3 linked regions of the Oryza sativa Japonica Group genome follow. The protein of the gene in region 3 binds, or shares a complex with, the protein of the main gene of each other region. Links are inferred from orthologs where the notes say so. Each region holds a gene or a part of one and is shown on either strand. Other genes may lie near its edges.

Region 1 (7,596 bases), about 4.9 Mb from region 3:
TCAACGTGAATAAGTCGCTGTTTCCACATGGCCCCTGATACTCCTATATAAAAGCCACCGGGTCCGAGCCGGCGTTCCTCACGAATTTCCATGCTCACAATCACAAGTTGACTCGTGACGACGGCGACTCCATCCGACCCACTTGTCTTGGACGACGCCTCTCGCTCCCCGAGGCGGACGCGGACCGCTTCACCCGCCCAATCAAAACCGTCCATCCATCCCCGCGTCCGCGTTCGCGTAGGCTGCGGCTGCGGCATCCATGGCCGTCGCGAGGCTGGTGGCCGCGCGGGCCCCTCTCCTCTCCCCCGCCGCGGTGGCGGCGGCACACCGATCGCCCCCGGCGCTGCTGCGGCTGGCGTTCGCGCCGCTCCCGGCGCGGCGGCTGGCCGTCCCCTTGCGCGTGGCGGTGGGTGAGCCGGAGCCGGAGGAGGATGCGCGGAGGGCGGTGGCGGAGCGCGCGGCGCGGAAGCAGTCGGAGCGGCGGACGTACCTGGTGGCAGCGGTGATGTCCAGCCTCGGGATCACGTCCATGGCCGCCGCCGCCGTCTACTACCGCTTCGCCTGGCAAATGGAGGTAGGTAACACGCCATCGCCAAACTCCCGCTCGCATCTTACCATTACCCAATTCGGCAATTCCTTCGCCGCAGCACTAAAATTTCTCCGCGTGCTCGACCAGGGCAGCGGCGAGATCCCGGTCACGGAAATGTTCGGCACCTTCGCGCTATCGGTGGGCGCCGCGGTAAGCGCACACACACGCACCGTCCGCACGACGCCGCGCGTCGCTCGTGTAACCGTGTTGGTTTTGCCTTGCCATTTTGCGCAGGTGGGGATGGAGTTCTGGGCGCGGTGGGCGCACCGGGCGCTGTGGCACGCGTCGCTGTGGCACATGCACGAGTCGCACCACCGCCCGCGAGACGGGCCGTTCGAGCTCAACGACGTCTTCGCCATCACCAACGCCGTCCCGGCCATGTCCCTCCTCGCCTACGGCTTCTTCACCCGCGGCCTCGTCCCCGGCCTCTGCTTCGGCGCGGTGAGTGGTCGATCCTCCTCCATTTCAACCAAATCCCCATCACTTCTCTCAAACACACTGTACCAGGATTTGACCAAGCGTGCTTAACGTGGCCGTATTAAAATGACAAAAGTGCATGATGTAGTACTATGTTCAGTTGATTACATTCACATTCCATGGCCGCCTGCCAAAAAAAAATGAATTTATCTGTCAAGAGAAGCCAAAGCGTAGAGCGAACTCCAAAAGATCTTGATGTCCTTGCTGCATCGGATAAACAATAAAAAATTGAACATTCGAGATCGAGAAAATTTAGAAAAACGGAGTGGCCTGGCCTCCATGAGTTCCCAGAGAAACCTATAATGGATTCTAATATCTTTGAGGGATGTTATCTCGTATATTTTTCTCTTTCAAATTCGATACAAATAGTTATGAATTTTTTTTTTTAAAAAGTAATAATGTAGAGTATAGTGAGATCTATCAGTCCACCAAAAATTATGTTCAACTTCCATATACACAACACGAATAAAAGAAAAGATAATTCAGATGTGAACATTACGCTACTAATCATACATTGAATTTAATTTTTTATATCTCAACGTGTGAGTTGAGTTTGAATATAAGATTTTATGTAGTTGCACAGATATGTTATCTGAGTGTTGTCAAAAAATTTCATAACCTTTGGATATTCTGTAAGCAAATGAGAGAACATCCCTCGAATGATTAAATAGTTCCCCCTATAACGTAGATTGTACTAAAGCAATAGGTATTGTTGTCGCATTGCGACGGCGCCATGGTCACCCATGCGAGGTACCCATCAACGGTCTCACCGGAACAAGTAAAATACAAGCGCTAGCAGCGTTTCTTTTTGTTCAATTTGATTGCCAAGGTTGAATTTTTGTGATCTGGGGCTCTGGGCAGAGATGATCCAAGTGCTGACGTGTCCGTTCGCCGCAGGGACTCGGGATCACGCTGTTCGGGATGGCGTACATGTTCGTCCACGACGGCCTGGTCCACCGCCGCTTCCCGGTGGGGCCCATCGCCAACGTGCCCTACTTCCGGCGGGTCGCCGCCGCCCACCAGGTCCGGCCCGGTCGCTCTCCACCTAACTGCAGCCGACCACGCATCCCTGTCTCTGAGCTTCTCTTGCCGTGGTTCTGAATTTATGTGAGCTGATCCATCCTTGCCTGCCATTCATTCTTGCAGATACATCACATGGACAAGTTCGAAGGTGTGCCATATGGGCTGTTCCTTGGTCCCAAGGTGAGGAGATGTGTCTCATGCTATTCATGCTTTGCTTCCTCGTGCCCCATGCTACCATGGATGCTTGTTGGCTTACTCCTGCTCCAACGGTGTCCATTTGTCGAGTAGTTTGCATACTTGCAGTACTCCTTTATTGCAAGCATGAATTTGTGATTGGGAAGCTAATGTAGAATTTGAACTGTGTTGATATAAAAGGACTGGAAATTTTGAAATGTTCTAAGATGTATTACAAATATTTGTGATCGTCGGAAAAATTGTCTGAAATGTTCTAAAATGTCTCTGTTTTATGTGGTTGACAGGAGCTGGAGGAGGTGGGTGGGATTGAGGAGCTGGAGAAGGAGATCAAGAGGAGGATTAAGAGGAAAGAGACCTTAGATGCGATCCAATGAGAGCTACTTATCACACATTTTTTTCTTTTTATTTGCTGTCATCTCTTATTAGTTTTTGCTTCAGTGGCAATTGTAGCCTTGTAATATGCTTTTCTGTCCTGTTAATAGAAGAATAATTTAGATAGATATTTGGAAGCTCATTTGGACGGTGGAGCACACAGGTATTAGAAATGATGTGCTGGGGCTGAATGGCTGATGCTTTTGCTAGTACTGCTGGTAATGATATATATTAATCAGTACCATTCTGAATTTATTAGTCTGGTTGAGTCGTGCTGCTGACAGTGAGGTGTTCACTGATAAAATGTGTACTTTCTTTTATATTCTTTATTTGCCGACATTCTGTATCTCTTGTTCACGAGATGTGCCGGATGTAAATATGAAAGTGATGCATGGCTGATTACTTTTTGACCGTGAAGAAGAATTAATGAAGCTTATGCACACTAGGCGGTTCCTCCATACTGCTGAATGGCTGTTCATTAAGGCCCTGACAAGTGACAAGGTCACAGACTGACAGTTACTTCTTGAGGTCAAGGAGGTTAATGTAGTTTATCAGGATTAGGTTGCAAACTGACAAGGAAGATATTGTCCGTTGTGTTTCTACTCTTGGTGTCAAGTCGATCCTCACAGGATCACGGTCGTGGCATTGCTGGTCCTTGGTAGAACAAGGTAGGGCAAGCGCAATGTTGTGATCTGGGACCTTTCAAATCAGATCCTAGTGATTGTCCCCTGGTTATAAAGAACTGCATGTTACGGTTACTGCATGATTAGTTAGGCATAAGCATGTGACGAGGATCCTCGTCGTGATATTCCGTCCATTTTTCAATGTTGATCAAGCGTGGCAGATCTCCTGCTGATCTGCCAGCAACTGTTGCTAGGTTCAGAGTTTGCTTGATCTTGTTTAAGCTCTTCATCGGCGTTTTTTATGTTTGAAGTCATCGTTTAATGGCATACTACTACTATACTAGTGATGTCCTGTAGTGCATTAGAAAATACAGAATGGGCCACATACTCAAACACTGTTACCGGTTGACCAAAACAAGGCATATATCGAAATTCACACACTGCAGACTTGCAGTTGTTGACTCATGTAACTTTACCCTTCTCTTAGGCCGTGTTTAGTTCACCCCCAACTCAACGGTTTTGATGGGCCTAAGGCCCAAATCAACGGTTTTGATGGGCCTAAGGCCTGAAACCATGTCGAACAGTTCGATGGGCCGAACCATGACGAGAAAGCCCACCTGCGACACTGGACAGCAACGGCAGCCAGCCACAGCCAACTCGCCTTATCCCGTAATCCATCCATGGCATAAAGCTCCCTCCTCAGCTCCCACCTCCGTCTCCGCGCACGCTCCAATGGCGGCCACGGCTGTGACCCTGCCGTCCTCGCCGGCCCCCTTCCCCGTCACCACCACCGCCTCCTCCTCCCGTAACGTCCGCCTCCTCCTCCGCTCCCCGCCTCCTCGCCGAGCCCTCCGCGTCGCCGCCTCCGCCGCGGCCGACGCGCCACCCAAGCCGGCGCCGCCGCCGACCTCGCCTTCGGGCATCGTCCTCGTCGACCCCACCGAGGCACAGAAGGTGCACCGCCTCAAGGCTGTATACGACCAGAAGGTGGTCCCCCTCATCACCGAGGAGTTCGGCTACACCAATGTCCACCAGGTGTTCGACCTCTGTCTCCCTTCTCGCAATTATAGGATAGACATGGCCATTTCTTTGCGGAACTCGGGAAATTCGATTGTTGTTCAATAATTGAGCTTAGAGGAGTGTGTTTTGGATTCTCGATTTTATTCAGGTGCCCAAGGTTGAGAAGATTGTAGTGAATTGCGGGTTGGGGGCTGAAGCCGGTAACTCCAAGGGGCTCGAATCCGCCATGAAGGACCTCGCCATGATCACCGGCCAGTGGCCCGTCAAGACGAAGGCCAAGAAGTCCGTCGCCAGTTTCAAGATCCGCGAGGGGAACACCATTGGTATTGCCGTTACGCTCCGCGGCAGGGTGAGTCCTCTGTACCTCTGGCTACTTGCGATGCAGACATTGACAAATTGGGGACTGCAATGTTGTATCAATTTGGGATTTGCATGACAGTATAATAGCCTAAAGTATGTGTGAGAATTGCAATTACTCCATCCAGTTCCAAATTATTGTCACCGTTGGCCGTCAGTATTTTACATTGACCACAAATTTTAAATGGTTGGACGAACGAAAGTTTAATACCTATCTATGTGGAGTAACAACCTTTAATAATATGGCATATTTTTAGGTATATGCATTTTATTTTCTAAAAAATATAAGTGATCAAAGTTCAAATATGAATAGTATCCAGTGACAAGTATTTGGGAACCTAGGGAATATGTTTGATCGATGAGCTTATTTTGGCTTGCTGCAGGTAATGTTCAACTTCCTGGATAGGCTCATCAACCTTGGGCTTCCTAGGACCATGGACTTCCTTGGTGTCAACCCCAACAGCTTTGATGGCCATGGCAACTTCACCATAGGCCTTCGTGATCAGGGCGTGTTCCCGGAGATCCCGTACGAGGTCGGTGGGAAGAAGAATGGAATGGACGTCTGCATCGTCACCACCGCGAAGACCGACAACGAGGCTCTCAGGCTGCTCACCCTCCTTGGCATGCCGTTCGCGGAGCACATCAAGTCCTCCGTGGTGATCCGGAAGAAGAGGTTGAAGCGCCACCACTTCATGAGCAAGGGCAGGGGAAGACGGTGATTGCAAACCGCTGCCTAGGCACGTTGAGCTTTGCTTCTCACTTTGTCAATTGTCATTGTTTTTGCAAAGTTTCGTTTAGAAGTTTGATGATTTTGTTATCTTGTCACGTGCTGTATTTACTGTCAGAAGACAAAATGAAAAGGCTTTGCTTTGGTCAGGTCATTCGCAGATGAGCACTCATAAATGAATTGGGTGTAAAGAGATTATCCGGCAGCATTTTCAAACTGCTTAACTTTACTCACTAAACCACATCATATATATCTCTTTGGTCCCAAGCATCTCATAGCCCAGGCCATTACCCACACCATACTATCATCCTATATCAGTATTTCAGTAGCTACACGTTGGCAATTCAGGCGGACCGATGACGAGCTCTTCTTCAGGGAAGGCGCATGGCTTGCCCGCCGCCCCGAGCTCCGGGCACGGCACCGGCGAGACGTCGGAGGCGACACCCTTGACATCGGTGCAGTTCCATTGCAGCTTCTTGGCGTCCGGCGCGAGCTGCGCGGTGACGTTGGACATGCAGATGCCAGTGTAGGGGTCGTTGGGAATCCCCTCCATCCTGCCGGCCATGGTGACGTTCTCCGCGAACACGTCGCTGTAGTTGATGCCGGTGACCTCCGGCAGAGCGTTGGGGTCGGAGGAGTTGTCCGGGTGCTGGCCGTAGTTGCCGGTCATCCAGAACACCCACTTCATGGTGTGGAGGCTGAGGCCGCGGACGAACACGTCCTTGACGTAGCCGCCGCGCCCCACGCCGGACTTGATCCTGACGGCCGACTCGGTGTCGATGGCGACGTTGTCCACGGCGCGCACGTCGCGGATGCCGCCGGACATCTCGCTGCCGAGCGCGATCATGGCGCTCGTCGGGGAGATGCAGGTGAGCCTCCTGATGAGGATGTGCTGGCTCGGCATGTTGAACTTGATGCCGTACTGGTCCCAGCCGCTCTTCACGGCGATGCAGTCGTCGCCGGACACGATGTAGCTGTCCTCGATCTTGACATGGGAGGAAGAATCTGCACCATGGACAACAAGAGCTCATCACATCTAGCACAAACCAATGCTTTCCTCATGGCAGCATTGATCAAGTGCAGTGTGACTTGTATGTTTATACCTGGGTCGATTCCATCGGTGTTGGGCGAGTTGAGAGGTGCTAGAATGGTGATGCCGCTGATGGTCACATTGCTGGCGCAGCACGGAACACAAAGAAGGTGAGCATCATGATCTATATCTAACCGTTCAGAAACTGAATTCTGGTTGCGAGTACTGATGATTCTTACGTGCAGTAGGTGGGATGGAGATTCCATGACGGCGAGTCGACGAAGGTGACATTAGAGATGATGATATTGTTAGAGTAGAGGAGCTCGAGCAGGTAACCGCGAGTGTAGGTGAGTTCCTTGGCGTGGAACTTGTCCCACCAGACTTGGCCCTGGCCGTTGATCGTTCCATTCCTACCTGAAATGTTGCTCAATTTCAGATATCCACAGCTAAACATATACCACAATCACAGCAGTTACACGAAAAGGTTGAGAAAATAGCAATCTTCATCACGCATTCATTCGTGTACCAGTGATGATGACATCTGTGAGATTGGATCCAGCAATGAAATTGCTGTATCTTGGGCCTGGTTCGTCCCTTCCTCTTCCGTAGGATGGCAGAGGAGCTATCAGAGGCCAATCTTCCAAGTTCTGAAGAACGAAATGAACAGCTTAGACTGTCAACACTTCAGATAATGAGAGATGAACCAGTTACACTAGTAACTGAAAACGGGTGAACAAAAACAGATAAGAGTAGCAGGTCCACAAGTTATGTGCTGACAAAATTCAAAGCATAAAAGTGGAGCAACCATATAACAGTAGAAATTTCTGAAATGACATGGCAGAGCTTTTGTCCTAACACTCCCAATCCATTCTCTTTCTCTCAGTACGGCACGGTTAGCAACTGAAACGGATCACATTAACATCGATTGACCTTCAATGGTCCAAACTAATTAATCAGCTATCTGATCAAAACCGGTTCATTTACATGTATTCAATAGCCACCAGCTCATCCTTACAATAGGCAACCACCGCAATTGCAATGACACATCACCGGGTTCAAGCTCCCAACATACAGCTCTTGGCACATATTTAAGCGCCGCCTTAATACGTTGTCCTCCCATTTCTTGAGAGCGACAATCAGATAAGGTTGATTACGACAAAAAAAAAATACAGCATGTAACCGT
Region 2 (8,246 bases), on a different chromosome or scaffold from region 3:
AATTGTCTAACAGATCATCTCCTTTACCATTCTCTGTACACAAGATTTGTACTGTTTCTAGTATATTTTGGGCTTATAGGTCTGTGCAGAGTCCAAAGGCATGCCCACCATGTCCATGTAAAGCGCTTTTACATGATGAAGAGTCTTTGTACAAGAAGCAATTGAGCAGACTTCTTCACTGCTATTTTCTTCTTCACAAAAATATATGAATAAATAAATTAAATCTTCTCCATAGATTAATGTATTAACGCAGACGTGCAATAACCATTTTTGTAATTCTGTGGTGCTGAACTGTTGATGCCTAATGATCAGGGAATACCCGTGTAGTGACGTCCCTTGTGCCATGCAAAATTTCTCCAGAAGTACGTATCACACGCAGTCTAAATCGTAAATGGCCAGACCTGATCGCGGCTGCCTAACGCTAGTAAACAAAACGTTCACGATTACCACGCTGCCTCCTGCCTATCACGTGCGAATGCGATGCTGAACTGAACTGAACGCCTCTCGAGCTGGAGAGCGGTGCTACTACCAACTGCTCTGCATCACACGAAAATGGTGAAACCGAGAACTGACACCGTCTACAAACTCCACAATAAAAAAAAGAAACGACCACGGATAAGGTCCGCTCCAAAACCACAATTTCTTCCCCTTGAAACGGAGAGATATATGTCTGAATCTGTCTGTCACGCTCTCACTAGACACTAGTCACTCCTGGCGTTGAAAAAAACCAAACGAGCAAGTACCTGCCAAGGTACAGAACATTCGTAAGGAGAGTTCCAGAACGAGCAACGCATGAGGGCAAGTACTATGATGGTTGATGTGTTGCCTCTAAAAATGCCACATAGAATTAAATGATGAGGTGGAAGTAATAAGTGAGGAAAGAGAAAGTGAGCTAACTCTCATGTAAGGGGCAACCTCCATACAAACCCTAAGAAAAAGAAGATGAAAGAAAGAGGGGATTGGACAAACAAATAAAATATAATTATTTGGGTTGGTATGATAGAGGTGGTGTAGATATGGTGTGTTGTATATGTTACCTCTTATCTTACATGGATAAAATTAGATGTAGCAACTATTCCTACTATAAAACTTGCCCTGATTGCTATTACATATGGCTCTCAGCTGCAACCACACCGTCTCCCCGTCTCACCCTCCACACACTTGTCCGGCTTCCCCGCGCCGAGGCCGCGCCCCTCGGCGCGCTGCTTTGTCCAGCCGAACCAGCCGTTCTTTCCTTCATGCAATCCTGCCGCAAGTAGGCTCTCCTTCAGTACATCAACAATCAAAGACACTACTAGAATGCCCTCACTAACTAAGGACACCCATAGACTGACTCTGGAGGTCTGTCCTCACAGTGGAGGATACCCATACCTAATAGCTTCAAAATCTAAGGAAATTTAAGGGCACCAGTTGAAGACACGCATACCACAGTGGGTGTCTCGGCCCAAATAGCCGCCAACGACCTCGAGGATTTGGGGGACGGGCGCAAGAGAGAGGGGGAAAGGGGTGGAAGAGGAAATCCTCGCTAGGGCGTGTCGCCTGAAGCAACCGTACCCACGCAACGCTTCGACCGACGCCTGGGCGAAAACGAGCTGGGGGTGCGTCCCCAGCGAGGCATCACACGGTCTTGCGAGAGAACACCTCGTTTGCTTTTTCAAACGGAAGGAGACGGCGTCGGGTGGGGGGACGCCCTGGAGACACGCATTGTTGATGCTCTCAGAACCCATGAATTGCATAAGATTAAGACATTCAGTCCAATTTCTTCCAATATTCTTTCTAAAAGAGATCTTGTAAAGTTTGCATGTGACAAAAAAAAAAGAACTACTACATAACACTATACTGTTACAACAGAATACCTTATGGTGCTAACATCAGCACAGGATCGTAGGTATCATATTTGTATGTGCACTGGATCTGGTACTACCAGACACGATATCCATTAATACCACATTATCAGACTCTCGTATTGGTTCCTATTTCCTTCGTCCCATAAAAAATCAATTTCTAGGAATGAATCCGGACAACATTCTTAGGACATTCACAGTGCGCTACATATTTTTGCCGTTCCTCATATGCCACGTAGACGAAGAACCTGTTAAGCTTCATCCTCTACAATGCAAGTACTAGTAGTGGGTCCCACCGGTACAGTTTTTTCAATTTTCATCTCTCAATCTCTCTCTCTCCTCTGTTTCTTTTCTCATCCGAAATCTTTCATCCCCCAATCTCTCACTCTATTTCTTTTCTCACCAGGGCATCCGAGGCGCTGGGGCTGAGCGGCGGCGGCTGTCAGGGCAGCCCGAGCTGCGACGGTGCCGGACGGCGAGCTCCCATCCTCATCATTGGATACGGTGGCGGTCGCAGCCTCTTCGTCGATGGCGCCTTCCTCTCTCTCTCTCCCCGTGGCTGTGGCGACAATGCGCTCGCTGTCGACGCTGCGCGAAGCCACTCGTGTGAGGCTCCGCCCTCCACAACACGACAACTCACCTTTCTCCCTGCTTTCTTCGTTTGAAGAACGAGTATCCATGTTTGGGTACGAGAACCTTATTTGGCTCCGCGTACTGTCAATGCGGCGCCGAATATTCAGTTCTTGGCTATGGGGCTGAACGTCACATCCTTCTACTGTGAACACTCTTAGAAGTTGTATCTTTTGGGATAGAGAGTGTAGGTACTCTGATGGTACGGCCAGACATTTCTGATACTCTCGCAACTAACAGATTATGGGTAATGGTTCGTAGTATTTTTAAAAAGTAAATAGCACTACATTATCGGTGGTTCTTTTGGACCGTACCCAGTAACGGCGAAATCGTGAGCTTTTGGGCCCAATCCGACGCCCGCGGCGCCGCAGCGCACCACCCTCCCCCAACCGTCTCCCCCGCGCGCGCGGGCACACACGGCTCGGCTAATCCAAAATAGCCCAAATCGCACGAGTCCTCCCCCGTCCCCCGCGACGCGCGAGCGAGAGAGAGCCCTATCCGCTGCGCGCTTCGCCCGCTCGCCTCGCCCTCGCCTCACCGGCTATTATAACACTCTCGCGCTGCCACTTCGCCTTTTCCTCCCCTTTCTATCCTCCACCTCGGCTTATCTCCTCCCCCCTCCCCACCACCACCACCACCACCATGGCCACAGCCGCTTCCCTCTCCGCCACCGCCTCCTCCCTCCTCGCCCCCGCCCCCGCCACCACCGGCGCCGCGGCGGCGCAGTGCTGCTCCTCCTCGTCCACCGCGCTGTTCCCCACCCCCGTCCCGTCGCTGCGCGCCTACTACCCGCGCCTGCTCCTCGCGTTCCGCCGCCCCGCCGTCGCCGCCGTCGCAGACCCGCAGGGCGCCGTGCTCGAGGAGGAGCAGGGGGAGCAGCAGGACGAGGGGCAGGAGCAGTACGACGACGACGACTACGACGACGGGTACGAGGGCGGACGCGGCCCCGCGTTCACGCCCCCCACCCGCCCGCGCACCGGCAAGGCCGCCCTTCCGCTCAAGCGCGACCGCGTATGCCCCCCCCGAATCCAGCCTCCCCCCCGCGTGTTCATCCATTCGTGTTGATTTTTGGATTGACGCTGACGCCGCGTTCGCCTTTTTTTTGATGGGTTTGCAGACGAGGTCGAAGCGATTCCTGGAGATACAGAAGCTGAGGGAGAGCAAGAAGGAGCACGACGTGCCCACGGCCATCTCGCTGGTGAAGCAGATGGCCAGCGCCCGATTCGTCGAGTCCGCTGAGGCGCACTTCCGCATGAACCTCGACCCCAAGTACAACGACCAGCAGCTCCGCGCCACGGTTATTGCTCTTTCTCTCTGCTGTTGCCATTGTTACGTACGTTCTGTTCTGGCTTGTGTTTTATCAATCGTTTTTGATGATATTGGATCGGTTTTGGTGATGATGTGCAGGTTAATTTGCCCAAGGGGACGGGCCAGTCGGTGAAGATTGCGGTCCTCACACAAGGTGGGTTGCAATTACATTTTGGAGATTGTTATCGCAGCACCAATTCCAATTGCAATCTTTGGTGCATGGATTGATTAGGTCACTGCTAGTTGTGTCTTTTAGGTGTGGTTTGCCTGCTTGATCATGTGGTTATTTACGGTTCATTAAATTGGAAGCACGCTGTTATATAGTGAATTGAAATGGAAGTATGTGAATGCGCGCTAGTCACTAAAGTGGTGCACTAATCACTAGCACTATGTAATGGCTATTGTCAAATATCCTTGCAGGTGAGAAGATAGATCAAGCAAGAGCTGCAGGAGCTGATATTGTCGGTGGAGATGACCTGATTGACCAAATAAAAGGAGGATTTATGGAATTTGACAAGCTGATTGCATCACCTGATATGATGCCTAAGGTATGGCATTAGCTGCATAACTCATGTCTAAAACAATTCCAAGCATTATGAAGACTTGTCTTTTTGCATGTCTCCGACATAGTTTATCCCACATCCAAATGAACACGTTATGTTTCAGTGTTATTAGGAACCACAAAACCAGGCAACATTTAGTTGTATTGATCAGATATTGTTTTCTTATCATTACCTGCCATATCTGATCCATCCCTTCATATTACAAGTGTCTAGCATTTACGATTATGATTTGAGCCATAATGGAGATATGCAAATTTGGTTCACTCAGAGAAAATAGATTCGATAAGCAAATAAGGTTCTACTGTTTTGAATTGGTACATTCTTCGGAAGTTTGGATGCAGTTCTGCAATAAGTGTTGAGCTCCATGCAAGACCTGCATGGAAGTTTTAAAGGTGTGCTACTAGCTCGGCATATTATGTTGTTGATTTTGGTCTTTTGCTTCACAGGTCGCCGGATTGGGAAAGATTCTAGGACCGAGAGGACTTATGCCTAACCCCAAAGCTGGGACTGTTTCTCCAAACATAACTCAGGTACAATGGAAATTCTACAGATTACTATATGTATTGACACTGTTGCTTGTGGTTTTCTCTCCCATTTGCTTGGTTATTGTGACCCTGAGTGAAAGGTGGGTAACTGTCCATTTACCTTCTTTGATCCTTGGTGAACTTCTGTTTTATCCTCGTTCAATGCAATAGGCAGAACTCCTGCCCTTTTGTTCAAAGAAGTTGTCCATTTACGTCATCTCAGTACTTACCTCATAGATGCACTTCTGGGAGAAAACCTACTGATATATTGCTACCTTGTTTAGTAGTCTTCATTGTGTGTGCAATATATTTCAGTGGTTCGATTTTCAGACATGTTGATAGACATTTTTTTAACCTTGTTATTCGTAGATAGAAGGTTTGAAATTTTGTTTGTGCCAACTGAATTTGAGGATATGCATGGATGCATAGCTCCATCGTTCGTTTGTTGGCTTATCAACGGCAGCCAAAATCTGGATTTTGAAACTTAATTTAGAATTGATTTTGAGGGGTTTTTTTTATTGTGCTTTATTCTCCAGTGCTGGCTTTTGAATCGCTAAGAACATAGATATAGACGTTTTACTCAAAAGTTATTTTTGGTTGCTTCGTCATTTTTCCACGGCTTATCAGCCATAGAGCAAATGATCGTGTAATGACTGATGATGATGGTAATCTGCTACTTAGCCTGCATAGTGCCTCCGTAACAGTTATGTAAAGCATCACAACAAATCTGCAAAATAGAGAAAACAGGTAAAGTAGGCTACTTGACTGTTAGGAACAACCATCATTTATAACGGTTAACTGAAGGACAGGAGTGGGAGCATTTGTGAAAAATCTAGCCCTTTAGGTAATGAACTGGGCTATATTGTGCTCATATATCTATGAAAAGGGCCCAATTTCTCTAATTTAATACTTCAGTAGATAGATTCAAGGCTGCAATATACAAATGTAACCTTAGCATCAGCCATGACTACAATAATTGATTAATGCTCATACAGCTATTTTCAAATGAACATGGGAACCTCTAAATCTTGTCAATCCTCGTTGTCTCTATAAATTGTTCTTCAAATCAAGTCTGCCTAATGCCAACAATGGTTGAAGTTGTGTACCAGTCATCTTGTTCTATTCATGTTTCTACATGTAGAGAAATTCTAACTTTTGCCATTGACACACATGTAAAAGGATGTCATTGTTTATAATCATATAATGTCATTTGTGATTGTTGTACCAGTACAAAACTGAAGTATTTGAACATTTTGCTTGAAGTATTAAGTTGTAAATGGAGATTGACAGGGGCGGAGCTACATAGAGCTAGGGGGGTGCCCAGGAACCCGGTTGAAAATTTTTTTTAGCTATAGTTTGTCCATTTTCACCATATATATACTCTGTCAGTTCAAATTTAGACACCCGTATCAAGCTAAATTTGATTCAAACTAGAGTAAAGCAAGCAAGTGGAACCCCCCTTCATTTTGTGCTAGCTCCGCCCCTAGAGATTGATTATGTTAATTATGTTAACTGTGGAAATGGTTTCAGGCTATCGAAGAGTTCAAGAAAGGTAAAGTTGAATACAGAGTTGACAAGACAGGGATTGTTCACATTCCCTTTGGGAAGGTTGATTTTCCTGAAGAAGACCTTATTGCAAACTTCATGGCTGTTGTTGTAAGATATCTGCTCCTATAAGCATCTTTATTGATGTAACTTAAAACCTATGCTGACCTGCCTTCTGCTATATCTTTACAGCGCTCTGTCGAAAGGAACAAACCATCTGGTGCAAAGGGGATATACTGGAAAACGGCATACTTATGCTCATCAATGGGGCCTTCAATCAAGTTAAACATCAAAGAAATGCTTGACTATGGCTCAGAATCATCAGACTAAATGCCACGAAAAGCACCAGTTAAGAAATCTGGTGTTTGCTACCACCTTCACAAAATTAACCATCCACCCTTAGCGATAAATGAACCGGGAAACATGGTGGGGGAAGGCAAGGGAGGTGCTTAGGTACAGTTTTTTTTTCAGTCTCACCTGCATCCATCCAGCAGTTACACGATGCCCAAGTCGACGAAGGGGTGATATTGTTGGCCATTTGTACTTACGAGCAAATTATTTACGGACTTATAGATGTGTTTTCTGAGATGTTTGTTGTAATGATCAATATTTTGTCCATAGTCATCCTTGAGCTTACGACAGCAGTTTATTCTCACCAGTACTTGCGGTTCCTGAATCGTTGCAAGTTTGCATTGTGCCATTTTTGAATGATAGCAGCAGCGGTTCGATTTATGCGAGAATAGTAATACAAGTACTATCTGAAGCTCTTATGAAAATTTTCTGAAAGCAAGCTATGTATCACTCGAGCACATTCGGGACTAGAATCGTTTATATAGATGTTAATGGATTAGACACTGAAACGGAGGAAGTACTATCTTACCATAGCAATATAAATATAGATATCTATATTAATGGTACGATAAAATGTTTTATGTAGTATTAACTTGCTATATTTTAAAAAAGAATAAAATATGTTTCATTTAGTATTAACCTGCTACATTTTAAAACGGAGGAGGCAGTCGTATAGCGGAAACTAGGATATGATGCTAATGATTTCGATACGGAGTACTCTGTATTTTCTTAGTTTCAAAATGTTACTGTCTCCCATCTTAAAAACAAGTAGTACTAATAGTCTAACATAACTATAGTCTATCCATTCGGTTGGGATGTCTAAAAAAAATCCAACCTAGTTGGGGACGAGACATAATCTAATATGATTAATCTAGATAGTGGCTAACCTAGTTGGGATGGGATACAATATAGTATAATGAATCTGGACACGTATGCGTGGGATGTCTAAAAAAAATCCAACCTAGTTGGGGACGAGACATAATCTAATATGATTAATCTAGATAGTGGCTAACCTAGTTGGGATGGGATACAATCTAGTATAATGAATCTGGACACGTATGCGTATAGATTTGTTGCCAACTAGATTCAACGTCCATGTTTACATTCATTAGAAATTTAATATCAGAGCGATTGTTATTAGTGGGAATATAGAACTACGATGATAAATATCTCGTTTGGTTTAGATTATTAGACGGATTATTGATTTAATTAGTGATAAATTTAATATGTGCAAATAAACTTAACAATTGAGATAAGTAGTCTAATCTAAACAACACTGTAGAAAAAAGTTTTTTTAAAAGAAACATGTATTTCAAAGCGTGGAATAAATATTTTAATAGTCCGATGAATAAGTTAAGAACAACTTGGCCTTTGGTTAACAATGAACAGTAAATTGATGCTTACATCAACAAAAGTACAAAACAGAAAGTCAACCGATAGCATACTGATAGAAAAGAACCACTTGACCAAGCTTTAACGAC
Region 3 (8,277 bases):
TGGCTGTATTATACTTCTTTCCAGATCCTTGTATGAACACCACACAGATTTGGATTTAAAGAATGCGCTGCTTCATGAAATGATTCATGCTTATATGTGCATCAAAGATAGTAATGATAACCATAGGTACTTTTTAGTACCATGACTGGCCTCTTCTTGTATTACACCTGAATTTCTGTCTACTTTTTTTTTTCTCGTTTTGACTAATTTAAAAACTGTGATCAAGCAGTGACCATGGGCCAAAATTCCAGAAACTGATGAATACAATCAATTTAAACTCTGTAGCCGATCCTCATGTAAGTTGAATTCAGGTGTCAATTTTCAATCAGCATGTGCTTAAATATTTCTTATTATCGTAACGATATTTTTAATTATATCCAGCGTCCTCTTGGTGGCTACAGCATAACTGTGTTCCATGAGATCAGAAAGAAATTTTATATACACAAAGTAAGAACCTGATCTTTAAAAGTAAATCTTATTTTCTAATTTCAGATTGGCAGCTAACAATCTCTGTAGTGTGAAAGCTGTGGAGATTTGATCAAGTCAACCAAAATCAAAGGACCATCACAGGATGACTGCATTGAGGCAATGGGTGCTAATGACTTGTGTGACAGTTTAATTTGTCACTGGCATTGGTATTAGCTATATATTTCTTTGCATTTTTTTTGTTCCATGCATGCCTTATTGGTATATCTCTAAAGGTGTGTTCGGAATCCCCAGTTCCCAACTCATCCATCTCGTTTTCCGTGCGCACGCTTTTCAAACTGTAAACAGTGCGTTTTTTACAAAAAGTTTCTATACGAAAGTTGCTTTAAAAAATCATATTGATCCATTTTTTAAAAAAAGATTAGCTAATACTTAATTAATCATGCGCTAATGAACCGCTCCGTTTTCCGTGCGGAGGGGATAGGTTCCCATCCTCCATTACTGAACACAGCCTAAGAGTGCACATAAATATTCATAGAAATATAAGCTAGATGTACATTTTAAAGCTAACTGTGTAATTTCCAAAATGTGTAATTTATTACTCTCTGCCTTGTTAGTGTATCCTTGCAATGTGGGAGGTAGGATGTAAACCTCAGTTTGTGATGAACAAATAAATCAACTATTATTATTGTTAAATTTGACAAAGAGAGATGTTAAACTAAGAAGGTAATGATGGGTGTCTGCTTCAATATCTAACATTTTCTTTGTGTTGTCCTGTCACTTTGGCAATTGCATAATCTAAAAAGTGGTAAATGATCTGACATAAATTTTTCTTTATTGGAGGTGAAATCGACATGTCCAGCAGCCAAACAAGATTAGTAATACCTGAACAACTATCATGCTCTTTCTCCTCCTTGGGGTCCTGGGATGCAACTTACTCTAAATTTAGTGTCATTGAGTTCATGGATGGAGTCATGATTTGGCTTTCTGTATTAATATATATATAGGCACAAGAAGCGGTGCACTGGTAGCTATCACAGAGTTCAAGGATCATCATCAGGTTGTGTAGAGGGTTCAAAAGGTAACATTTGGCTTAAAAAGGAGGTTCCAGTTATGATAACATTTTAAGACCATAAAACAGTCTATTTTGTTGAAATGCCTTGAGATGACTCTTTACTGCAGATATACATTTTAAACTCTTAGTATGCCTACTCATACAAATTGATGATACTGCTAATTTTTGTTGGTAGCTTTATCTGTAGAAGCACCTGATTGCAAAGTTGAAGAATCAGCCCCTGGAAGTTGGCACAATGCGCATGCATCAATTAAGGGTGGAAAAGGCAATAAGCATGAACTGGAAGAAACCTCTGCTGGGTTTCCTCCTGATGACTCTATTGGTATTTCTGGAATGGAGTCCTCTTCAAGAGACACAGCTAATAAGAAAATCAAATTGTCAAAGGATATTGGTTTGGACCGTCTAACCGCCACAACTGTTCAGGAAGCACCGAAGCGTCCAAGAACAACCTCACTAAAGAAGAATCAAGAGTGCAGCAGACAGAAGAAAAGAAAAATAAGCAAGTGGGATGGTTCCTACTCTGTAATCATTGAATGGTTGAATTACTATTCTGTGGATGAGTCAGATGAAGATGAGGTGCCTTTGATAAATAAAAGAACCGAAAGAAGAAAGCGGCAGAAGTTACTGAAACTTGTTCTTGCTAGGGAATCCAATAGTGGCAGTGAAGGTGCTAGTTCTACATCTTTTGTAGAAAATGGCAGAAATTCTAGCAGTGCTGGCTCTTACCCCCTAAGCCAGGGGGACAATGACAAATCTGAAAATGTGCAAGCTAATCGAGTTGATGTAAGTTCATTGCCAGATCATCCTGTAAGTAGTCATGTAGCAGCAGAGGATCAAGCTGGCCAAGCTGCATCGTCACCATTGAACTCACCAACTAGAGGTATCGTTGTTGACATTTCAGATGGTTGATGGCCAGAGTTCCATTAGTTTCTTTCAGCTGAGGCCTGGACGTACAATTATCCAGACTACAGTTGTAACACTTACTTTTAATTCCTTGCACCTGTCTACTGCTAGACATGCAACGGGACGATCCTGTGAAGCATGTGTCTTGTACATGTCTTCGTTTCTTCCTTTCTCATTTCACCTTTTCTTTTCTTAGCATAGATCAGTTCAGTATACTTAACTCTGTCAGGTTGTGTGACCCATCAGTTTCTCTCCGTACTAGTCTCTTGAAGAACAGCAAAGATCAGGTTTTCTCTTTGGTTGATTGTGTGTGGAAGATCAATCCAAATATGTTCATTTCTTAAGAAGATAAATTCAGTTCTATTCTATTCATAAACTTTTGTAAACCTTCTAAAATCCTTTAATAAACAAGAAGCAAAGTGAGTAATACGAAACCATTCACAAAATAGAGGGAAAAGAGGCCCAAATTCCCAAGGGTTAATTGGATTCATGGCCCATTTATCCAACCGTCTTATCTCCCTCGTGTCCTTCCCCAATTATCCCCTTCTATCCACCCACACCAGCAAGCCGCTCAGGCGCGCTCTCCGCTCCACCGCCATGGCGTCCATCACCCTCCTCTCCCTCGCTCCCGCGGCCACATTGCTCCACCTCCCGGCCTCCACTTCGCTCTCCACCTCCTTCGTCGCCGCTCCAGGCCCCATCTCCGGCCGCCGGTCCGTCGTCCTCCGCGCCCGCCCGCGCCGCTGCGTCACGGTCGTGTGCAGCGCCGCGGCGGCCGAGGCCGCGGAGGCGGAGCCCGCGGAGAAGTTCCGGCTCGACAACCTGGGCCCGCAGAAGGGGTCGCGGCGGCGGCCGAAGCGGAAGGGGCGCGGTATCGCGGCGGGGCAGGGCGCGAGCTGCGGGTTCGGCATGCGTGGACAGAAGTCGCGCTCGGGGCCAGGCGTCCGGCGCGGGTTCGAGGGAGGGCAGATGCCGCTCTACCGCCGCATCCCCAAGCTGCGCGGCATTGCTGGAGGTGAGTCTCTTCGAGCTTCCCGCTTCCCCTCCTCGCCCTCAATCGAAGCCTCACACATTCAAATGCACTGGAAATTGAGTGGGAACACGCTAGCACCTTCCATTTGGAATGCAGAAATGCTGGGATTGAGAAGTGACCCGTTGCAAGTTCTACCTTGCGATTGCAGGAATGCATATTGGCTTGCCGAAGTATGTGCCGTTCAATTTGAGAGACTTGGCGCGTGGCGGGTTCAAGGATGGTGACGAGATATCATTGGAATCCTTGAAATCGAGGGGTTTGATTAATCCGTCTGGCAGGGAGAGAAAGCTTCCTCTGAAGGTACACTATACGACGATTATCCTTCTTTTTTTTAAGTCGGTTCTGTAGATGACCATGTTTTACTGAAAACTGAAATATGAATGCCTTGCATTTGATCTTTGCCAGTGAATTCATCAAGTTCACCAGCAGTCTTGGGTAATCCTTTAGTTGTTGATGTTGTGGATTGAATGGCTGGCCTTTTTTTTTCTTGTAGTTCTCAAATGTTGCTGTGTTGGTCTGTCCTTAGCAGCAATTACCAAGTTGAGTATTCGAAGTCTCAAAGTTGTGTGTCGGGATCAATTTTCTTAGCTCGTGTTGGACAAACACGGTATGATTTGACGAGTGTTTCTATTGGCTACTCAAGGATCTAGAACGTATGAGTTATGATGAACCCACACATGGTGTAGGCCTGCATATGAGCATATCTGTCAGGCATAAACATGAAGTGGTATCAAGATCCCAACAAAACCATGTGCTCTTACATGTACCACTGCATGTCTGCATCACTCCCAACATACCCAAAATATTTACTGTTTGTCTCCACTCTTAGTTGGCGGATTGCTGGAGTAGATGCATTAGTGTGCTACTGGGTTGCCCCTTATAGTGGGTAGTGGTGTGGCGCTTGATCACTGATGTGACAAAGACTTCTCCAAGGGTGGAACTTAATGCACCTTGAATAGCATAATTGTTCAACTTTTATTGTTCTTTCTGGTCCTATTTCATTTGATTGATTTTTTCTATACTCTAGGCTCCTAGCTATGTGGTACATATAAGGTAAAACCCACAGGGCTAAAACAGGTATCAAGACCTAAGTCATAATGTGGGGAGCTATCAACTTTATCCTTATGATAGGCTTTTTCCTTCTTGACATCTGATTCTGATGTTCAGCAGATGGCGTTCCTTTCATCTTTGTTTGAGTACAATGATACTGCAATGTTGCTGTTGTTATTGTATCTTTTATCATGCGGGTAGTATTAGTATGCTAACTTTTGAAAACCTATCTGTAGATTTTAGGAGATGGTGATGTATCAGTCAAGTTGAATATCAAGGCTGGGGCATTCTCTGCTTCAGCCAAGGAGAAGCTCGAGGCAGCTGGTTGTACTTTAAGTCTGGTACCAAAGCGGAAGAAATGGCTACCACAATCTTATCTGAAGAACCAAGCTCGTGCAGAAGAATACTTTAGCAAGAAAAATGGTGGTGCTGGTGAATCTGATGAAGCATCTGCATAGAATTCATATACACTGTACTTCTCCTTTACCCTTTTCTTTAACATATACTTATTTCTCTTACCTTGTTCCAAAAGTTCCACGTTCAACGAATTTTGAATCCGTGCGATATGCAAGCATTTTTTTTTGTGTGTTTCCTGTTTAAATGGAGAAAATTCCTTCTATACCCCTGAAAGTTTAGCCAATCCCTTCTACGCCTCCGAGTTTTGTCCACTCCTTTGTATGCCCCTGAATTTTGGTTTTGATCCCTTTCATACCCATACCGTTAGTTGAATGTTTAATTCTAATGAAAAGGACCTTTTTGCCCTTAGACATGAAGGAAATCTAAAAATTGTAGACTAGCTATATTGTTGGAAGTGTATAATTTTGTTATATAAGACTATCATATTCATGACTTTATTGTACAAGGTATTATTCATGGCAAAGTTTATTTTTACCTAATGACATAAAAACTAATATTTATTTACCTACTAAAAGAGTATATGTAGCATTTGTTTATGGTAGTTCAACATATTTTCTCCTGTTGTATATATTATATAGGAATGCTTTCCAAAACTATGTTTATCATTTAAAAAAATGCTACATGTACTTTTTAAATATATATTAAATTTTTTATGTACATAAAACTTATGAATATGATAATCACACAACAAATTTTATACTTCCAACAATATAGTTTACAAATTTCTACATATTCCTCACATATTGAAGGGTAAAACTGACTTTTATATACCTATTAAACGGTCAATTAACGGCAAGGGTATGGAAGAGATCCAAATCAAAATTCAGAGGTATACAAGGGAGTGAAGGAAATTCATGGGCATAGAAGGGATCGGCTAAAATTTCAGGGGTATGGAAGGAATTTTCTCTCTTTTAAATGTGATGTATGTCAAATGTCAGTATGCATACCCCCCAACACACACCCTCACCCTCTTGTGATCTTGCACTTATACTTCAAGTTGCCTATAGTATTGTTGTCCATGTTGTGTTATAGTTTGGTGACAGTCTTTCTAAACAAAAACAATGATGGTTCATCTAGGAGCTAAACTCTGTTTCGCTTATTTGATCCTGCCTTTTTCAAAAGAAGGTAGTTATCATTTCAGTGTCTTAATTGATGCCCATATGTGATAATGTGAACTTGTGGGCTTCTTAATTGTCCATGTATACATTTCGTGATTTCCTGGGAAAGTGGACAGCTGGACACACATGGGGGCATGCACACTTAATTGCTGCACTGTTCATCTAGTGACAAGAATGGGCAAATGTTATATAGGGTTGCAAGTCATTCTATGTGTGCTTAACAATTGATTTTGAACACAAATTTCAACAGAACTCATCCATGAATATTGCTTGTTTGAAGAAGTTATATAAGGACACTGCTATATCTACTGTCACATAAATTACAAGTAGTTTCTTGTTTGACTTAATACAATAAGGACAGCACATCCCTCCTCAAAGGCTCAAACTGACTACAGTTATATCATCATTTTGAACTTCATGTTCATGTTCTCTCATTTTTTATTCAGGGATTTAAATCGCCACTTACTGCTGCTTGTTTCTTTAGGAGTTAGTTCAAAGGGTGACATAACTCACCTTTTACTGCAGCTTGAAATTCTTTTTCCTCTCTCTTTGATTCATTCTTGCACCCTCTTGCTCCCTGTGGACGTTGATGCTTCTTTTGTTTGATTTGCTTCTTGTTTCAATCGTTTACATAATCTCAATTATACCTCATACTTGTTATTTTCCTGTTGTTTTTCGACATTTCTTTAGGAAAAGAAGTCTTGACTATTTAGGTAAATTCTATTCCATCTTTGACTGTGAAGGTGTTAATTTGTTGAGATGTTTCCCATTTGATCAAAAACAATTATTTATGGCCTTTTGATGATAAAATTTATTTGTATTTTAGATTAACACGCAAATCATCGCCCTCATTCGGGCCCTAGGTCCACGCAGCATCGGGAGAATGACTGGCAAATAAGGGTTTGGGTAAATTTCCAGTGGCATAGAAGAAAATTTACCCTTCATTTCAGTGTGCAGTGCAGATTTGCTATGAACTGCGTACCAAGATCTTGACTAGTTGTGCTTGCATTGCATGTTCATATCAGCAATTTAATACTACCTCCGTTTTATAATATTTCATATTATAAGACTTTTTAGCATTGTCCATGTTCATATGGATGCTAATGAATCTAGACAAGCCACTAGCCTATTATTGCAATGTAGTTGTCCTTAACTACGATTGCAAGCATTAGAAAACTTATATTTCCTTCCAAATTGATCCAAGGTACTCTTCGTTTCAAAATATAGCGAACTTGGACTGAATGCGACACATCCTAGGGCCTGTTCACTTTGATGCCCAAAAGTTGCCAAAATTTTGGCATATATAGTTATCAAAATTTGGCAGCAAACTAAATATAGTCACTTTTTTGGCAACTTTACCAAAATTTGGTAAGATTGAAAATGGCATCAAAGTGAACAGGCCCCTAGTATAATAAATTTGGGACGGAAGGAGTAAGCTAGATAAAAATGAAGTCATTTATTTATTGTTGCATATTTAATCATAAATAGAGATATCACCATGGAATTAGATTGGTGTATACGTATGCTTCGTGCTACTGATCCGAAGACTCCCCTGCCAAGGGATCGGATCTCTTGCTCATGGATTATGCGTGTGAGTAGACAGATGATCTATGATCACCACTGTGCCATGTCGGGCAAGATTTGTGGCGCGAAGTTAGCATCAAGTTGGAATACATTCAAGAACTCTGTTCTGGATGAATTTGGACATAGCAGAATGCTAAATGGCGACAGGCTGTTATTAGAGGGCGATGTGCTTTTCATGTTGTTTCGGGGGAACTGAAGACACTAGTACTGTAGCACATACATCTGACTTGTTGCTTCTGCCTCTCGAACTGATCCAGCAATGCGTGTAATAATAATCCAGCAGTATCAGTAATTAGTAAGCGTATAAGGATGGTATTAGTGTTGATCGGGATATTGTAGAAGGATGGATGTATTATAGTGTTGATCGGGATACTTAGAACTACGAGTGATAGCTTCGTGCTACGCTGTTCTATAGTCAATGTGGCACAGGAGAAACGCTAGTATGGCCTATCAGAGCACTATCAGCTGCCGCCATCAAGCAAAGCTGAGGCCGGGCTGTCCAGGTTGCTTCAGGGCTTTGGGAGCTTTCGATTGCTTTCCACTCCCCTCCATCTCCATGGCGCACAACAGCGACGCCCCGTGAATGCACGACGATGCATCGTGCAACGCAATCGCGTCGCCATAACTCCCCGCTCCCTTTCACGCCAGCCTAACAACCAGACCCCATCGTC

What was found.
Region 1: large ribosomal subunit protein uL15c (region 3) and large ribosomal subunit protein uL5c share a complex: the UniProt entries of both Arabidopsis thaliana proteins name them as parts of the 50S ribosomal subunit. The link is inferred for Oryza sativa Japonica Group from reciprocal best matches to the Arabidopsis thaliana genes RPL15 and AT4G01310.
Region 2: large ribosomal subunit protein uL15c (region 3) and large ribosomal subunit protein uL1c share a complex: the UniProt entries of both Arabidopsis thaliana proteins name them as parts of the 50S ribosomal subunit. The link is inferred for Oryza sativa Japonica Group from reciprocal best matches to the Arabidopsis thaliana genes RPL15 and EMB3126.

The regions. Positions count from the first base shown.
Region 1 is NC_089037.1:1,439,531-1,447,126, reverse strand, and holds large ribosomal subunit protein uL5c, read left to right. Parts: upstream 1-3,943; 5' UTR 3,944-4,011; coding exon 4,012-4,314; intron 4,315-4,447; coding exon 4,448-4,648; intron 4,649-5,039; coding exon 5,040-5,375; 3' UTR 5,376-5,628; downstream 5,629-7,596. Other genes in the region: beta-carotene hydroxylase 2, chloroplastic, read left to right, coding at 260-574, 677-739, 824-1,030, 1,964-2,089, 2,213-2,269, 2,569-2,658; probable polygalacturonase, read right to left, coding at 5,706-6,388, 6,487-6,557, 6,653-6,827, 6,940-7,060. UniProt on the Arabidopsis thaliana protein: Binds 5S rRNA, forms part of the central protuberance of the 50S subunit.
Region 2 is NC_089039.1:18,888,041-18,896,286, forward strand, and holds large ribosomal subunit protein uL1c, read left to right. Parts: upstream 1-2,937; 5' UTR 2,938-3,116; coding exon 3,117-3,485; intron 3,486-3,591; coding exon 3,592-3,771; intron 3,772-3,881; coding exon 3,882-3,936; intron 3,937-4,202; coding exon 4,203-4,330; intron 4,331-4,791; coding exon 4,792-4,875; intron 4,876-6,399; coding exon 6,400-6,525; intron 6,526-6,606; coding exon 6,607-6,744; 3' UTR 6,745-7,069; downstream 7,070-8,246. UniProt on the Arabidopsis thaliana protein: This protein binds directly to 23S ribosomal RNA.
Region 3 is NC_089037.1:6,340,024-6,348,300, forward strand, and holds large ribosomal subunit protein uL15c, read left to right. Parts: upstream 1-2,942; 5' UTR 2,943-3,001; coding exon 3,002-3,419; intron 3,420-3,585; coding exon 3,586-3,737; intron 3,738-4,723; coding exon 4,724-4,945; 3' UTR 4,946-4,959; exon of another isoform or gene 4,960-5,061; intron 5,062-5,701; exon of another isoform or gene 5,702-5,921; intron 5,922-6,712; 3' UTR 6,713-6,735; intron 6,736-6,848; 3' UTR 6,849-7,146; downstream 7,147-8,277. Other genes in the region: uncharacterized protein, read left to right, coding at 1-126, 230-296, 382-447, 517-635, 1,434-1,507, 1,677-2,410.